Linked DNA regions of Coturnix japonica. The protein of the gene in region 1 binds, or shares a complex with, the protein of each later gene. Links are inferred from orthologs where the notes say so. Each region holds a gene or a part of one and is shown on either strand. Other genes may lie near its edges.

What was found. The genes of interacting proteins can lie anywhere in the genome.
Region 2: DRC1 (region 1) and GAS8 share a complex: the UniProt entries of both Homo sapiens proteins name them as parts of the nexin-dynein regulatory complex. The link is inferred for Coturnix japonica from reciprocal best matches to the Homo sapiens genes DRC1 and DRC4.
Region 3: DRC1 (region 1) and IQCG share a complex: the UniProt entries of both Homo sapiens proteins name them as parts of the nexin-dynein regulatory complex. The link is inferred for Coturnix japonica from reciprocal best matches to the Homo sapiens genes DRC1 and DRC9.

Annotation. Positions count from the first base shown.
Region 1 is NC_029518.1:96,156,952-96,162,354, reverse strand, and holds part of DRC1 (dynein regulatory complex protein 1), read right to left. Parts: intron 4,799-5,403; coding exon 4,615-4,798; intron 4,173-4,614; coding exon 4,035-4,172; intron 3,401-4,034; coding exon 3,314-3,400; intron 3,118-3,313; coding exon 2,995-3,117; intron 1,422-2,994; coding exon 1,282-1,421; intron 945-1,281; coding exon 810-944; intron 680-809; coding exon 450-679; intron 58-449; coding exon 1-57. UniProt on the Homo sapiens protein: Component of the nexin-dynein regulatory complex (N-DRC) a key regulator of ciliary/flagellar motility which maintains the alignment and integrity of the distal axoneme and regulates microtubule sliding in motile axonemes.
Region 2 is NC_029526.1:16,805,801-16,811,791, reverse strand, and holds the start of GAS8 (dynein regulatory complex subunit 4), read right to left. Parts: upstream 3,366-5,991; 5' UTR 3,290-3,365; coding exon 3,287-3,289; intron 2,897-3,286; coding exon 2,804-2,896; intron 2,159-2,803; coding exon 1,961-2,158; intron 1,778-1,960; coding exon 1,571-1,777; intron 1,027-1,570; coding exon 972-1,026; intron 396-971; coding exon 190-395; intron 1-189. Other genes in the region: DBNDD1 (dysbindin domain-containing protein 1), read left to right, coding at 4,472-4,520, 5,413-5,559, 5,763-5,903, 5,973-5,991. UniProt on the Homo sapiens protein: Component of the nexin-dynein regulatory complex (N-DRC), a key regulator of ciliary/flagellar motility which maintains the alignment and integrity of the distal axoneme and regulates microtubule sliding in motile axonemes.
Region 3 is NC_029524.1:13,174,401-13,180,597, forward strand, and holds the start of IQCG (dynein regulatory complex protein 9), read right to left. Parts: upstream 3,366-6,197; 5' UTR 3,343-3,365; coding exon 3,253-3,342; intron 3,165-3,252; coding exon 3,021-3,164; intron 658-3,020; coding exon 413-657; intron 104-412; coding exon 1-103. Other genes in the region: RPL35A (60S ribosomal protein L35a), read left to right, coding at 3,883-3,893, 4,378-4,530, 5,010-5,154, 5,567-5,590. UniProt on the Homo sapiens protein: Component of the nexin-dynein regulatory complex (N-DRC), a key regulator of ciliary/flagellar motility which maintains the alignment and integrity of the distal axoneme and regulates microtubule sliding in motile axonemes.

The DNA of each region.
Region 1 (5,403 bases):
CTTCTCCGCTGCCCACTTCTTCCTTCTCTTTCTTTTCCTGTGCCCCACTGGTGCTCTCTGCAAGACAGAAAAAGGGTGAGAAAAAAAGTCTTTATGCTTTGTCTGTGCTCCCCAGGTCAGTACTAGTAACATCACTGCAGCTTTCATCAGGGAAATCACGGTCATCCTGGTGACCTGGAAATTATGCCAAAAAGACCAGGATGTGAGCTGGCTCTGGGTCAGCTCATCTGGTGCTGGGAGCAATGAGCACAGCTCAGTGCTAAGATCCCCAAGGTGGCTTGGAATGAGCCAGCTCAGAGCAGGCACATACCAAACCTGACTGAACTCACACAGTCAGTCAGATCCTTTTGCAATGACAAAGACAGGAGAGACTGTGGGGGCTCTCATGGAGGAAGGTGAGGGTTACCCAGTGCCACAGAGGTGACAAGGGCACTGAGGCTGTGTCTCACCTGTCAGGACCTCTGCGGCCAATTTGCTTGCCGTCTTCTTTGCCTTGTACTGCCCGCAGGGGCCGACGTTGTTGAGGAACCAGTAATGAGGCTCTTCCCAGGGCAGTCCCAGTTGCTGGGTGTGAATGATTCGATCTGCATCGAGAGCTTTCCGCATTAACCCTTTGGCTTCCTCCTCATTCATAAGCCAGACCTTCACGAACTTGTCAGCATCACAGGCTGCAAAGTGCCTGTGTAGAGAAAGAAAGCCCATAGAAGCAGCTTTTGTGTCCATAAATGAGTCAGCCCCCCTCTGTATGTCATTCAAATGCTCTGAAGCCTCATCACAGATGGATGGCCAGGCCTCCAAACACAGCCCACCTCATCTTTCTCTGCACATCCTTGCATCGTCCGTTGATGCGCTCGCACTCAGCTACAAGACTCTGGTTCTCCTCTCTGAACTGCTTCTCTTGTTTGACCAGTTTTTTTCTCAGATTACTGAGTAAGCTGTTGAGCCTGGAGAGGGATAGCAAAGCTGGGGATTCCCAAAGAGGCACTTTAGGGCAAATCTCACATGTATGAAGGCTTTGGGAGTTGGAGCTACCCATCTGCTAGTGACCAGCACCAAGACCTGACTGAATCCCACCTAGTTGGCACAGTTTGGTCACTGCCAGATTATTCAAACTGTTCTGGGGATGGTGCTGCCCTGGACTAAACTCTCCCCCTGCCCAGGGATGGGGCAGGTCAGAGCTCAATCCTGTGCTAGTGATGGTTTCCACAAAAACAAATGGTATGTTAGGAGATGGCAGCAGGTAAAGCAGAGCCTGTTCGTTTTCCAGGGATGGTTTTTTACCGGTTGAGCTTCCTCTTTTGTTGTGCCCTGATGATGGTGTTCTCCTCATCTTGCTTCCTAAGCACCTGAAGGTTGTATTCCAGCTTCTCCTGGTTGATCAAATAGACAGCTTTCATATGCTGGATCTGCCTCTCCAGGTTCTGTCAATTCAGAAAACATGGAAAGAAGCTGTGCTGTAAGCAAAGGACACAGAGAAGCCTGACTATAACTCAGTAATGTAAGTAACTCCAAACCTGTAACTCCAAACCCAGCTTCCCAGGCACATTTCTCCCACCCTAAATGGCTCAGAAACATTTGTGAACGTTACACAATCTATATCAGCCCGAGTTATCAATATGAAGTCACAGAATCTGAACTGTCCCCTTGGAATTGCTCTATCAAGTGGACAGGGACCTTGCGACAGCAATGTTTCACCTGCTGTTTGTGTTGCAAAACCTTGCAGACACGGCTCCTAGCTTGTATTTCCCCAGGCCTCCTAGGAAAACATCATGTGGGACTGCCCTAGTTTTGGCTGAGACAGAGTGAATTTTCTCTGTAGTGTCTGGCATGGTGCCATGTTATGGATTTAGGAGGAAAAGAATTCTGATAACACATTGATGTTGTTGTTGTTGCAGAGCAGTGCTTACACAGAGCCAAGGACTTTTCTGCTTCTTGTTGCTGCCCACATGGACAGTGAGGAGAATAGGGGTTCACAAGGTGTTGGAAGGGAAAAGAACCAGGACAGTTGACCCAAAATCACTGAAGGGATATCCCATACCAAATGGCATCATGCTCAGCAACAAAAGTGGAGGGGATAAGGGAGTAGTGAGCAACTGCATTGTGCACCACTTGCTTTGTATGTTCTTTATTATTATTATCTCCCCTTCTTTTTCTGTTCTATTAAACTGTCTTTATGCCAATCACAAGTTTCACCTTTTCCTGATTCCTTCTCCCACCCCACTGAAGGGAAGTGAGTGAACAGCTGTGTGGTGCTGAGCTGCCTGCTGGGTGAAACCACAATAAGCAATGAGCCTTACTAAGTCAAATGCAAATCTGTTTGTACCATGCAGCATGGGAAACAACAAATAACAACAAGCAGGGAAGGTGTCAGCTGTGGTTGTGTCCTCTGCTTAGCCAAGGAAGCAGAAGTGGAGGCATTCAAGGCCAGGCTGGACGTGGCTCTGAGCAGTTTGGTTTGGTGGTTGGCAACCATGCACATAGCAGGGGGGCTGAAAATGGATGATCATTGTGGTCCTTTTCAGTCCAGGCCATTCTATGATTCTATGACTTCATGGCTACTAGAGAAATCATGAGCCCAGGGCTAGATGTCAGAGGCAAAAACTCAAACCTCCTAGGCCACGGACTTTTGCAAGGGAGGCAGTTAGTCTGATCTGAAATGATCTGGTGTCAAAACACTCACACTATTTGATCCTCCTACCAAACTTGACTTCTGAAGAAGCAAAACCCTCAACACTCCCAGCTGCTTCATAGATCCTAGAGCTGCTACAGACCGCTTAGAAGCCAAAGGCACATTGATACTGTGCTGTGGATCCCACTGAGAGGAGAGACTAAAAGCTCCATCATGCTGTTGGCATGGAGCTGGATTGTGCATGCTGAAGAGCTGAGGTGATCAGATACCAGACACACCATCCAGCTGCCCTCCAGAGCAATGAACAAACCAGGGTGGTCTGCTCAACTGTCACACCACATGGCACACACCAGCCCTTTCTGTACCTGCACATCATTCTCCAGATGAATCTTCATGCTGTTATACTCCTCCTCATCCCGCAGTCGCAGCTGATTCAGCTCTTTCTCAAACTCTTCTATCTTGCTCACACGGGAATGTAGGTATTCCAGCTAAGGGCAAAAGAAGAATATCATCCATCAGAGGTGACAGCTTCCTCCCATGATCACAGCTCCCTCTGCCAGCACTAAGCAAGGTCATGCATGGATTATTCCCTGGCAAAACAGGCTGAAATACCTGCCCCTCTGCCCACCATGCACCTAAACAAGCAGCCACCATCAGAGTTTATAAATCTCATGGGGACTTTACCTCTTTTGTGTTGAGGTCCTGGATGGCCTCCTCCCACTTCTTCCTGTTGTTGTCCAGCAGCTCTCGCCGTTCGTGCTCAAAAGTTTTCTGCCAAGGAGACAGAGCCATTTACCATCACAGTGGCACCTCAATTTGCCAGCCTCGTTCTAGTCCACACCAGGAGAGGACTGACAGCTGCTCCTGTCTAATGAACATACACACAGGCCTGATGTCTCCTCTCAATGGCAGAGATCTGACATTGTGAGCCCACTGGGACAGCTGTAAGTCACCCTAACCCATGAGAGCTGCTTTTGGTGGCAGCTCTGTGAATTCAATGGAAATCATTGTCTGATATTGAACCCTCGCTCAACAACACTGATTTGTGACTTTCCATGCTCTGCAGAAGGTAAGAATTATGACCAACAAGGCTCCTTCTTGGCTTTTAGCAAGACAATTAACCAGCCATGAAAGAGCAATAGCTTTCAAATGTTACCATGTTTCTCTGTGCTGAACCAAAGTCATCCACAGCATCGTATAAAGCAGCCCCTCAGCACCCAGCATCATTCAGTGCTCTTGATTGGCCAGATTTGAGCTTCATTCATCAAGACATCAGCTCTCTGCTCTGGACAGTAATCAACCCAGCTGGTGGAAAGAGGCTGAGGCCTTTTGGCAACAGATATGGAGAAGGGAACAGCTGCAGTCTTTCTCCCTGAACTCTACTTCTACCGAATGAACTGGCTACCTCAATCTGATGGATATTGTGACGGTAAGTTCGTAACATCATCCTGGTCTGCTCCTCCATTCTCTCCAAAAGCAGGTGGATGTCATCTGACTGCTTCTTAATGGTTTGCACGTATTGCTCATCTTTGTTTTTCAGCTCCTGGAGGAGGACAGCAGATGCTGAAATCAGAGAGAATGTTTTACTAGGGGATAACAGAGAATGTAGGACCCAGATCCTGCCTTTTCCAAAGGTGACAAGGACAAAAGGCCAGCAAGTCATGAGGTATTTAGGAGGAAAGGTGGGAGGAGAGACATCACCACCAAAGGTCGGTCATAGCTGGTAAGAAGATAGAGTGGAAGGTGAAACATCTGCAATAGGCCACTCCTGCTGCTGAGGGCCAAGGAACCTGCTCTGGAGAAGACTTGCTTCCCTTTAGGAAAACAATCCCCTTCTTGTCCTGGACCAACTGACACTGCATGCATCCCAGCCATGTGCTGGGGCCTCGGTGGGCCAGGGGGATGGCTGTTGCTTTAGAACAGCACCCTCCAAAGCTTGAAAACTCCAGTCCTCCCTGGTTACCTCCGCATGGCTCCCACACTACCTGCTGCAGTTCACCAATGAGCTTGTTCTTCTCATCCAGAAGCTGCGTGCACAGCTGCTGCTGTTGGTTCAGCAGCTGCCACAGATCCTGAGGGATTGTCATATCTTTGGCCAAGGCCCACTTCGAGGTGATCTCCTCAAACTTTTCAGCACTGTACTTGGCTACATTCTCCAGCTTCTCCACCCTGTGGGCAGTAGAAGAAGGTAAACCATCGCAGGGCAACAAGTGGTTCAGTGGCCTACACCACATACAAAGCCACAGGAACATTCTCCTGAATAACTTAGCTTGAAAAGTGGCATCAAGATGAGGCAGCAGGTGGGAGGTGACACAACTCCCAGCTACACAGCCCAACCCTGGAGAATCAAAGGGAGTGCTTTCCCTTTGTCACATGCAGCTGGACTGAGTTTCTCCCACACACATTCCACCACTGCCTCTCTGAAACCTTCCTTATGGGCTGTTTATGGGCTTAAAATATCCAGATCCTTATAGATAGGCTTAATAGAAAATATTCTGAGCAAGGAACTGATGCCTTGCTCCAGCCAGCCTCCCACAAACTGTTCCTACAGTGCCCTCCAAAGGCAATTAAGAGAAAGGACTCGGTGTTCCTCAACTGATCTGTGCAGGCAAGGCTGAAACAGCCAGACCCTTAGAGATCCCTCTGGTGGGGCAGGACAGGTTACCCAAGGCAGCCATAGAGAGACTGGAGAATAACTGAGGCTGGAAGAGCCTCAGAAAAACACTGGGTCCTGGTTAATGTAGGATTAACCAGGCAGAGCAGATGGTGCAGGG
Region 2 (5,991 bases), on another chromosome or scaffold:
CCAGCAAGCCACATCTCTCTGTGTACAAGAACTTTGCTCATGTAATGTCGTACAACTCCCAGGAAAACAGGAGTGCCAGGACTTCCACCAGGGAACTGGCCAGATCTGGGGCAAGTTACTGGACCAGCTCCCTGGTGACACTACACAACAGGGCTGCAGCAGCGGGGTCAGAGAGCAGGCAGGCATTACCTTCAGCAAGCTGACGAGCGCCAGGTTTTGGAAGGTGACATCTTCATGGTAGTTCTTGAAGTCATGGAAGGCTTTCTCATGGTTCTTCATCAGCTCACTGATCTGGTTGTTTTTCCTCTCCTCGACTTCATGGATCTCAGTCTTTCGGCGCAGGTCAAGCTGATCCCGCAGAGCTTGCATCTTCCTGTTGTACCTGGCCTCCATCTCTGGGGAAGTGCACAGGGGGCCGAATGAGACCCTCCCACAGAACCTAGGCTCTGTTAGCAAGCAGCAGCCCAACATGTGCCACTGCAGCACTGCTCAAAGACAAGATGCTTGTTAACAGCCCCACAGCAGCTGCCACCAGCACACGGAGCAGTTACGTTGGGACCATGGAGAGCAGAGCCCAGAAATAGCATCCTGGAAACAGGGCATGGAAACGCTCCAAGGCAGCCCGTGAGAACCTGATGCGTCCCCTGAGGAGAGCACTGGAGCCAGGACTTAAATCTGAAAGGACTCCTCCAGCCACCCAGCCAGGCAACTGTGCTCAGCAGTATGGGCTGGCAGCAGTGAGAGCCCTGCCTCCACCCAGCCTGTCCAGGCTCCATTTTCACAGCACATTCAAGCCAGGCTGAGTTCAGTTTGGACAGCACTGTTAGCCACACAGCCCAGCAGCCATGAGCAGAGAGCAAGAATCGAGGGGAGAAGTGGCCTCTTTCTTCTCCAGGAAGGCTAACAGCACAGAGGAGCTCCAAGGAGGCTTCCTCAGCACACAGACACAGGGGCTTCGAGCATGTCCTGACCTTTCACTTGTCTCTCGAAGTCATTGCATAGCTGTGTGATCTCCTCCTCTTGTTTCTGTTAGGGAAAAGTATCATGTTAGAGGCACACAACTCAATCCTGAGGTCACTGCATCACTATACAGCACAGGCTAGAGGCGGCCATTCTCCAGTCACTGATGTCCACACAGGCCATGTCCAGCCACAGGGCTGGAGTCCAGCAATCAGGTGCTGTCCCAGCAAGCAGAAAAAAAACATGGTCAGCCACATCCTGCAGGAGCCTTTCCTGCTCCCTGCGAAAGGCTGCCACCACAGCATGAACCTATTATACAAACCAACCTGTATTAGGTTTTCCAGCTGTCCTCGTGGCTTTGAGCCATGAGATTGACTCTCTTTCCTGCAGGAGAGCTTTCACAGCACTCGCCCCAGGAACCCATTGTCCCTGTTCCTGTGCTCTTTCCAGTGCCTCTCAAGTACATCTGACACTTATATCTGTGGGAAACCCCATTCCCACCTCACCAAGACACCAGAGGATGTAGCCTCCTGCTTGCATACCAGAGACCCACCACTTCCCTCTGCAGCGAAGGCACTTTGCATGCAGATCTGCCCAGCCAGACACTTACCAGGCGCAGGTTTTTCACCACCACCTCGTTGGCCAGCTCTTGCTCCTTCAGGTCCACTTTCAAGGAACGCATCTCTTTGCGCAGCTCTGTCTCCTGAGCCCAGTGATCCTTCTGGGCCCGTTTCATGGACAAGGTACCCTCTACTTTCAGCTCGGAGAGGTTTTCCTGGTGTTCATACAACAAGTGCTTCACCTTCTGCTTGTAAACCTGAAAACAAGCCAGAGACCAGGTGAGAGACATCAGCAGGAGCCAGCAGAAAAACATCTGAAGTTCGGGTATGAACTGAGACACTCCTGACTTGTATCCAGCCCAGCTACTCCCCCTCTGTCTCCTTCCCTTATCTCCCAGGGCACGAGGGAAAAAAAAGGGCCACACATCTCACCCTCCCACCTTGATCTCTACTTGATGCCGCTCCTCTGCCTCCTCCATCTCCCTGTCCTTGTTACGCAGCTCTGCTTTCTTCTCCTCCAGCTGCCGTCGGGTGACCTCCCAGAAGGTGTGGATCTTGTCACGCTCCAGCTGGAAGTAGTTGCGCTCTTCCCGTTCCCGGTCCAGCTCCTTCCTGAGACGTGTAGTGTGCTCCAGCAGCTGCAAAGCAAAGAGGAAAAGAGAAGTAGAGGGAGAAGGAGCACAGCTCCCTTGAAAAACAGGCCTCACAGATATCAGTGGTGAGCTCTGTTACAAGCCTGGAGGACGTGGTATGGAAGCCTTTATTTATTTTCTCTCTAAGAGAGAACAGAAGGAGCGAAGTGCTCAGGAATTGACAAATGACCCCCGAAAAAGAGCAACAAGATCTCGTCCTTTCATAAGCAGACAGGGCTCAGGCATTCCGTCTCACATTCTCAGATGCTAAATAACACTGAGACATGTGAGATCTTATCTGCAGACCAAGGTGCCCCAGAACAGTATTATCTCCTCCTGTGTTTATAGGACATCCAGGGCAGTAGGCCCGTGTTGGGCAGCTATGGCATCTACTTGTCCTCGCTGTCACTAGGGGAGCCTCCCACCCCCAAAGCAGCACAATTCGGGACGTGCTGAGAGTTCAGTGGGCTGCAAAGCACAGAGATGTAGACTGAGAGAACAGGGGGTTGAGCTTAAGCACAATAACCTGCAGAGAAGAGACTGCTCATATCAGAAAGGTAAAGGAAATCTAGTTAAAGGGGAGAACAGACCCCACTGCCACCTGTCAGCCTGGGGCCTCAGCCATGGCACAAGGGATAGCACAGCACTCACCTGCTCCTTGCTCATCTCTTCTAGGGGCACAGCTTCCGGCACTGCTGCGGCTTTGCCCTTTTTCCCCCCTTTTCCACCTTTCTTTTTGGGTGCCTGCAGAAAGAAAATGAAAGTTGTGAGTTGTAAGCACAGTGTGAGTGGGAGCTGTGCTGCACAGGGCTCACAGGATGCCAACACAGCACACCTGCTGCCATGGCGGGGTGGAACGGGTGCTATGTTCGGACCAGGACCAGAACCAGAACCAGAACCAGGACCAGGACCAGGACCAGGACCAGGACCCCGACCCCTCCCCAGGGCACCCCCCCCAGGCGGAAGGCCCAGACACAGCACAACCAGCTCTTCCCTCAGCACCGAGTTCCAGGTGCCCACCACCCCACCCAGGACAGCCCCGTTTCCCGGAGCCCCCACGCCCGGCTCCGGGCCCCCTGGGCCGCTAAGCTGAGTGTTGAAGGCCCCGCGGCCCGGCCCGGCCCAACCCCTCACCATGGCGGCCACGGCTGCTGCGTGATCTCCCAGGCAACGTTAGGACGGGTCCCCCCCCCCGGCTCCGGCCTCCGCCCCCTGCCCGCCCCCGGCCCCACCCCCGCGGCGGGCAGGAGCGAGCGGGCTGCGGGCTGGCACCGGGCCCACCCCGCCCCGCCCAGTACCGGGCACCGAGCACCGACACCGGCAACCGGCACCGGCCCGGCCCGGCCGGCCCATGGAGGCTCCGGGAGCGGGCCGGTACCGCAGGTGAGCGGGGATGGGGGGGGCTGGAGTGGGGTGAGGGCAGCCCGGCACCGCGGGATCGGGTCGGGCCGAGCGGGGCACGGGGGTGACGGGGAGGGGGAGGGTAGGTGTGCAACGGGAGGGGGGTGTGTGTGCAGGGGGTGTGTCCGAACGGGGAGCAGACCTGCACTACGAACATGAAGGTGGCTGTGAGCTGGGGACATGGAGTGCGGCACATCTCACCCCTGCCCTATATGAACCCCCACCCCCTGCCCTATATGAACCCCCACCCCTGCCCTATATGAACCCCCACCCCCTGCCCTATATGAACCCCCACCCCCTGCCCTATATGAACCCCCACCCCTTGCCCTACTATGAACCCCCACCCCCTGCCCAAAGATGAACTCCTCCACCCCTGCCCTATCATGAACCCCACCCCTGCGGTGCCTATATGACCCCCACCCCTGCCCTATCTGAACCCCCGCCCCGCTGAGCGGTTCAGCCGGGCTCGCAGGAGTCTGAGATGTGCCCCATGGAGCCGGAGCCGTGGCGCTGCCACCTGCCTGCAGGCAGCGGTGTGACACCTGCGGGCACCGGCCGTAACGCTACACCCGGGGGTTCCTGGAGCCGTGGTGTTGTTCGGGCGGCATCGTGTGTCTCCTGCACACTCCCATCCCTCCTCAGTGTGTGTCTCCTCTCCTCCCATCCCTCCTGACTGTGCCCTGTGCGCCGCTGTGCCGCTCGCTGACAGCCCCGGCCATGCCCTCCCACCTCACCAGGTCCTTGAGATGGGTTGGGGATCCTGGTGGGGTGACCGGAGCCCCCCATTGGGGTGAATGGAGCCCACTGCTGTCTCACTCTGCGGTTGACGTGAGTCAGCAGAGCACCGAGCCCTGATGCTGGCCTTGCTCCTTGCCAGGAGACAGCCGGTGAGCCTGAGCAACGCAGCACGGAGACGACATGCAGACGGGGGCCAGAGGGGATTGCTGCGGCAGGGACCAGCGCCCCGGTGGGTGGGGGCTCTGCTGGGGGGAGTGGGGATGGGATGATGGCGGGGGAAGGACGTGCTTTGGATGGTGGTTGCCCACCCTGGGGTTGAGGTTGAGGATGTGCATGGCTCTTCCTGGCCAAGGAGCAGGGTGGGAATCTGGTTTCCCAGATGGAGGAGGGGTGGTGGTAGTGATGGGTGTCCTGTCCTACCTTGCAGGGCTGGGACATGGTGTTGGGACAGTCGCTTGGGCATTGTGCTGCTTCCTTGTCAAATGCCATTGTTAATTTCCCTTTCCCTCTGCTGGCTCCTTTGGGCAGTGGGATTTCTGTCCCCTGCCCACCACAGTGCCAGCTGCCTGGGGGAAGGAGGCAATGCCCTGCCCCCAGTGAGCCTGTCCCCATACCATCTCACCCAGCAGCTAACTAGGACAGGGCCCAGCGGTGGGTAGCTGGGTCCAGCTGTGACACCAAGCAGACCAGGGGCCATAGTGCCCTATGCTGCTGCACACACACTGGGCCTCTTGGCCCTGCCCAGTGCCAGCTCAGCCCTGGCTGTCCCTGACGAGGGGCTTTTCCAGGCACTGCCTCTGCCCAGCCCCGCCAGCTCTTCTCAGGAGACAAAACGCCCCTTGTCTGGGCTCTGGGCTCTGAACAGGCTGTGCTTTTGTCTCACCGACACAAAAGGGCTGTGAGGGGCGGGGGGCTGCCGGCTGCGGGGAATGGGACTGATGGGGCCCATGGCAGCTGCTCCAGGCAGCATCGCCCGTCCTGCAGGGGGCACAGGGTTGGGGAGCTGCTGTTCCCTCCATCAAATAGCCCTGGGCACCCAGGGCGGTAGCATCAAGGCCACAGGAGGGAGCTGCCTTTGCTGCCCCAGCCCTGCACCTACACAGCGGGTGCCGGTTCTGCAGAGCTGGGCAAAGAGGCACTGGCTCCAGAACGAACAGCAGGGACCCCCATCCCTGGGACAGCGGAGGAGACCACTGGTGCCCCCACGGAGGAACAGGGTGGCATCCCCATCCCCACTGCCAGCCTGCTGCAGGTCACCGAGCGGAGACGTGAGTGCAGCCCCTGCACAGCCCCTGCCTTCCCCTGTGTCCCCTGTTGCCCCCACAGTCCCTGCCCGGCCCCTGCCCACCCCAAGCCAGTCATTGTCACCCACCCCTCCCAATCCCTTGTCCCTCCCTGGGTCCATGCCCAGCGCCCTCAGATCCCACCAGGGGCTCTGGCAGCTGCCCACCCTCCGTCCCGCTGCCCACAGAGCCGCTGAGCAGCGTGTCCTCGCTGGAGGTGCACTTTGACCTGCTGGACCTCACAGAGCTGACCGACATGTCAGACCAGGAGCTGGCCGAGGTCTTCGCTGATTCTGACGAGGAGAACGTGGCCAGCGAGTCGCCTGGCGGTGAGTGAACGTCTGCCTGCACCCCGCTCTGCCACCGTGCCCAGGAGGCTGAGCTGCCTGTCCCCATAGGGCTGCACCCGCAGGCAAT
Region 3 (6,197 bases), on another chromosome or scaffold:
TTTCTTTGCTTTCTCTCTCCCATTAGCTTCTATTAGGCTATCAAATGTTCCCGATTCCTCCATCTTCTTCATAGTGGCTGTAATTACATCACTCACATACTGCCTACCAGGGAGAAAAGGAACACAACAGTAATGTATAGGTGTACACTGATAACACGGAGTCTGGCACCTTTATCAATTATTGCCCTACTGCCATAGGGCTTCTGTGTACCCTACAGAATAACTGAGATCATGAGATCTCATGGCAAGGCCATGGTGCTCCCCTTAGATATAGCCATTCTTAGATATAGCCACAACTGGGGAACACTAGCAGTGGGAGGATGAGAAGCCTGTATTTTGCTTTGCAGAGGTAAAGTGAGAACTTTACAGCTCTGAGCATCCTGCACAGGCATCACACTTGTGCTTCACTTACCTGTCAGCCTGAATTTTTCTGAGATATTCTGCAGATGGAGCATTGGGTTTCGTGGCCCTTTTGGAAGGATGTTGGGCTCGTTTTGGATCCGCAGAGTTCCCCAGCTGCTGCTTCTGTTCAGTGCTTTTCAGAGACTTCGAGGTAACAGTTTCCCCACTCCCTTGCTTTGCAGGGGGAAGCTCTTGATACTTAATGTCCTGCACATTCTGTGTGTCTGTGATTTCTTTCATTTCCTGGCTGTTGATCTAAAAGAGAGTAAGAGAAACCTGCTTGCACATTGAGCAATAGGAATAGACTCTATGCAGCTTTATGTGGGAGGAAGAAGAATTAACAATAAACAAGAATCCACCTATACGATGGCCAGTTGATGAGTCTACAAAGAACCAAATACCAGAAATGTTCATCTGGGTGAGATGTGAGCACACAATTTAGGCTTACTGAAGTTGATGGGATCAAAAGGCCAAAAGTGACAGGACTAGAAAAGGCCTCAGAAGGTCGGTTCACCTGCCCCAAGAGGTGATGATTCAGATGTTTGGTTCTTAAGGACCCCCAGCCATGGAGGCTGTATTGCCCTGCAGTCAGTACCAGCGTGCCATTCTTGTAAGGAAGCTTCTGAAACTTCAGCAGCTGAGCCCCTGACTTCTCATCCCAGTCTCTGTAGGCACAGAAAAAAATCCTTCCTTCCTTCCTTTGCAGCAGCTTTTATATACAGGAAGCTTGTTAATCTGTTTCTCCTCAGCCTTTGCCCTATGCCTGTCACCAAGGCCTTTACTTACAGTGTAGTCATAAGAACAGAAGCTGATCTTAGCCTGTCACTACGTACTTCACAGCAGCACCACCAGAGCCAACTAATGCAGAGGCTTCCATCCTCATCCTAGTCCGTAGCTGCCTATTGCCCACCCTGACTGCTCGTGAAATGGAAAAAACAACTCACTGAAACATTTTCCAGCAAAAAAAAAAAAAGAAAGAAAGAAAGAAAAAAGATATATTTTTAGCAGTCCAGATCACTGCACAACCACACAAATGTTTGTGCCAACACAGCACAAAGGGCAGAGTGAAAACAAGAGGTCAGAGCAGGAACAGCATATGCTGGTAATAATTCTAAGAAGACCCTGATGGAGAAAGGCTCTATTCGTGTTCGAGGTCCTGCTGTGGTCAATGGGGACAGCGTGCAGGGCGCTGCAAAAGGCTGATGCTCCTGAATGCAGCTTAGGAGGGGAGGAAGTAGCCCCTGGACCGCATGAGTCACCACTGAGTGCAGAAGGAGACTAAGTGACTCCATGCTTAATTTTTGGACAGTTAAATTTACATGAAATGAATCTCATGCAAAGTATCCTGAGACCTATGAAAATTACGTGGTTAATTAGGGGGAAGAAAAAGGGGTGTAAGTAGTTGGATGGTGAAGGCTGTATTTCTGAAATAACTATTCTAGGCAAACAAATAGTTTTTAATATCATGTAGCTTTTATGGGTGCTGTAATAGCTGTTTATAATGTCTGGGAAAGCTGAAAACAGGCTATAACTGGATTATCTGTAAACAGTAGAGAATTAAGCACTAATAATTGCCAAAGAACTACAGGAGAGCAAGGAGACTGTAAATGGCGTGTGGTGCCATCCATGCAGTCCCTGCTGTTTATCTTTGCTGGTCTTTTGCCCTAAATTTAGCAGACAGAAGGGCTGCCTTCTCTGGGGAATGCACTGCATGAAGCAGTCTACAAGAGTCCCTGATTTAGGAACAAGCAACACAGTGACTGAGGCTCTAAAAGTTGGCTTCTCCAGAGCCATTTTCTGGTTTCTAAACTGCTTCCTCCTTGATTTGAGGATTGTACTCCATGGGAAAGTTGTGTCTTAAGAAATAAACTACTTAGTAAAAACGAGCCTCTGTGTTTGAAGAGAAAAACCAAGTGTACCTCTAGGAGGTCTGTCAGCCTCAGTGTGTGTGAGGGAGAAGGAGAACTGCGCCCACCATTCTCGGGATCTGCTGTATCAGATCAGCTGGCACAGCGGAGCTTTCACAGCCCCATCTGTGGGAGAAAAGCATCCTCGGCCAACAGGTGAGACGGGCTCAGGGTGCTCTCTAAGGAGAGCAGTGCCCTCTATAGCGCAGCCGGAGCATTGATCGAGCACTACAGTTATGTCGAGCAGCTTCTGCTCTACTTTATGCCTCTCCCCAGAACCACTTAGTTACGGTGTCTATTAGAAATCAACTCATTAATAACGGGCATTAATAATGAGTAGTTACTAATAGATTTTTGAAGGGAAATCTGTCTTATTTTGTTGTCTGTGGGGACTAGAGGAGCTTCAGTGTGTGCTTATAGAGTATCAGAATGACCCTGATTTGGGGTATTATCAAAGTCCCTGTTCTTTATTATTTATAAAGCTGTGCACTTAGGAGACGTCAGCCATCTGTTGTTTATTTTCCCCTGATCCTTTACTTATCATCTGACCACTGAGGTTGTAGAATGAAGCCTCAGAAGCTCATCTTATGTCACCAGGGTCCTTCACACAGCCATGCCAAAGAGACAAGTACCTGTGTGGAGACTTATAGAATGCTGACAGAAGACATAAAAGGCATTGAGAAAAATGAGAGCAAACACAGAGGCACATACACTGCTGACATCTGCCTTGCCCTCCTGTGAAACCGGCATGATGTACCCGAGGATGGCGAGCTGATCGATGCAATTCTCCAGCACAGCAGTGAGCAGCAGAGCTTCCAGCCGAGGGAGCTTCTCCATTTCTTTAGTGCCTGTGCTCTTGTAAAGAGGAATAAAGAGGAATAGAGGTGGGATGGTGTTAGTAACACTAAACCAAAGCCCACCCCTCTCCCTCACCGCTCAGTACCGTTCCGCGGCGCTCAACGCGACGCCGTCTCCATGGCGCCCGGGGTCCTGGCGGGGCTGTCCCTGCGGGTGCCGAGGCCTGTTCCCTCATCGCCGCCCGGAGGAGTAACGGGACTCACGGACATGGCGAGGGACGACAAAAGGCACCGATATCGGTGCACACCCAGCGCTGTGTCGGCCCGTACCGTGTGCGCTCAGGCTGTGACACGGGCAGCCCGCAGCCGGGGCCCTTAGAGCCGCAATCCCGGCGGGCCGCGCGCCGCCTCGTCCTTTGGCCGCCATCTTGGCTGCGCGCCGTGCTGGTGAGCGGGGTGCGGCGGGCGGGGTGTTGTGTCGGGCGTTGTGTCGGGCGTTGTGTCGGGCAATGACCATCCCGGCGGCGGCGGGGACACCGGGGCGGGGCGGATGGCGGGGTGTCGGGTGTGGAGCGGGCGGGATGGCGCCGATACACGGCGGATGGTGTCGGCTCTGGGGCTGAAGGGAGCTGAGGTGCCGGCGGGGCCTTGCGCTGTGAGGAGCCGGAGCCGGCCCGCTGCAGCCCGCGGTGCTGAGGCCTTGTCGGGCTGTGGGCACTGAGCGGGGTGTGTTGTTTGTAGGCTGAGCTGCCGGGACTGCGCTGCACGAGGACGCCATGACCGGGAGGTGAGTGTCTGCCTGTGTCTGTACGGCTGGATGGGGAGCTGCGCTGTGCTGACGGCACCGCTGAGTCTCTGCTGTCCCAGCACGGCGCTGCCCGGTGCACACACAGGGCGATCTCTGTGTGTGTGTGTTACATCGCTACGTTTGTGTTGCTCTCTTGAAACCCCTGTCTTCAGCTGGCTGTAGCAGTTCAGCCTTGAAGGGAACATAGAAACAGAAGGGGGGACCAACTTCTTACATGGCCTAATAGATTTCTGTGAGATGTGAAGATGTTTTTATACTCATTAAGCATTGAGGAACCAGCAGTGCTACCCAAAGCTGTGGGTGCCCCCTCCCTGCAGGTGCCCAAGGCCAAGTTGGATGGGCCCTGGGCAGCTTGAGCTGGTGGAGGCATCCAGCCCATGGTACACGGTGGGCTTTGAGGTCCCTTCCAACCAAAGTTTAATGTGTTAAACTGAGTTAATCTGTTCTTTCTCCATGTCTTTAGGTTGTGGTGCAAGGCCACTTTTGCTGGCTACAAACGTGGCCTCCGGAACCAGCGGGAGCACACTGCCCTGCTGAAAATTGAAGGTGTTTACGCTCGCCAGGAGACAGAGTTCTACTTAGGCAAGAGATGTGCCTATGTCTACAAAGCTAAGAAGTAAGTTGGTCGTCTTTTATTATCTTTTGCAAATGCCGGGATGTGAGCAGTCAGTTGGTTGGCAGCAAATTGAAGCGAGATGAGTTTGTGGTGATCATTGAGTTTTTGAGATCCTTAGAGGTGGAATATTTTGCCAGGCAAAAAGAAGTTGATAGAGCAGCCCTTGTGTGTGTGTGTCACAGCTCTGCTGTGCCTGCAGTGGTAGAGGCTTTAAGAACAATTGTTTATTGTCTTCTGCTTGATTTTTCTTTGAGAGTGGTTGTTCTGATGTCAGATGTGGAATTCCCTGTAATAAATTTGTCAGGCTGTTCATCACTGCTGTCATTTCAAGGGTGGCACGTGGCTTCTTGTAGCTGCTGCCTGTCTCGATGCCTGAGGCCCTTTGTGCCTGTGGTGTGACTGGAGAAATCCTACGTTAAGATACTCCAGGTTCATTCCAAAGGAAACACACTGAGTTCTGTGTCTTTTTGTTCCCTCAGCAACACCGTCACCCCCGGTGGGAAACCCAACAGGACGCGGGTGATCTGGGGGAAGGTGACCCGCGCCCATGGGAACAGCGGGATGGTTCGTGCCAAGTTCCGCTCCAACCTCCCCGCCAAGGCCATCGGACACAGGATCCGAGTGGTGAGCAGCATTAGGAACCAGGGGCTCCTTGTCAGCCTTTGGGCTGCCTCGTAATCTCATCTTGCACCATTGCTTTTTGTACTCTGCCTCATTTCCTACCTAGTGGCAAGGGAGCTGCGGCATCAACTTCTCTTACTCCCCATATAACTGCATGAGCTGCATGGCAGAGTCCTCAAAGTAGGCATGGGAAGGCTGAGCAGGAGAGTGACTGCTGGGTGGGAGCTTTGATACCATCAGATGCTGCTTCACGTCACTCAGCTCCTTGTTAGACTTTCCTGCCCCTTTTCTGCATAAATGGGAGTCACTTAAAATAGTTGAAGAGATCCATGATTCAGATGATAGCTATAAATTTGCTGACTTGTACAGTCCAATAACAGGAATTCTAACGTGATTCTGTTGTTGTGTTTTTCAGATGCTGTATCCATCCAGGATCTAAATTTTTATTGGAAATAAAATACAGAATAATCTGTTCCATTTTTGTACTTTCCTCTTTTTCATCCCCTCCACCTATATTGAGAGCTTTGATTCTTCAGTAGTGTACCACAGTACACAGCACACTGATGTAGGAGTGACTCTAAACTAGCTCCTAAGCTGGAGATTTGACCCGTACTTGTTAAAGGCATCTGTTGAGCAGGCTGCCTTTGAAAAGGCAAATAACTGCCAGCCTTTATCATTGCCTCCAATGTAGAATCTGAATGGCATGTAGGTCCAAACAATAAATGTTTGCAGTCTTTGTAGACCGTGCCCCCAAGTTTTCTATAGAAAATGAGAAATATTTCCTTGTCTCGTGTGTGTGAGTGTGAGGTTTGTCAAACAGAAAGGCAATGAAAGTGGATTTAAAGATTCTTAAAGTGCGATTTTCTTAGTGCATAAAAAGATACCGTATGACTTTAAGGGAAGCTTCGGGCAGCTGCAGGTTGTCATGGCTGCTGCTGATGTCATAGTCTTCTTTCACTCCCCAAAGGAATCATCAGTACCCTGAGTGGGTGGTGACTGCTGAGGCAGGGAAGAGGTTGCCCTCACCTTCACTCAGGTACTCTGAT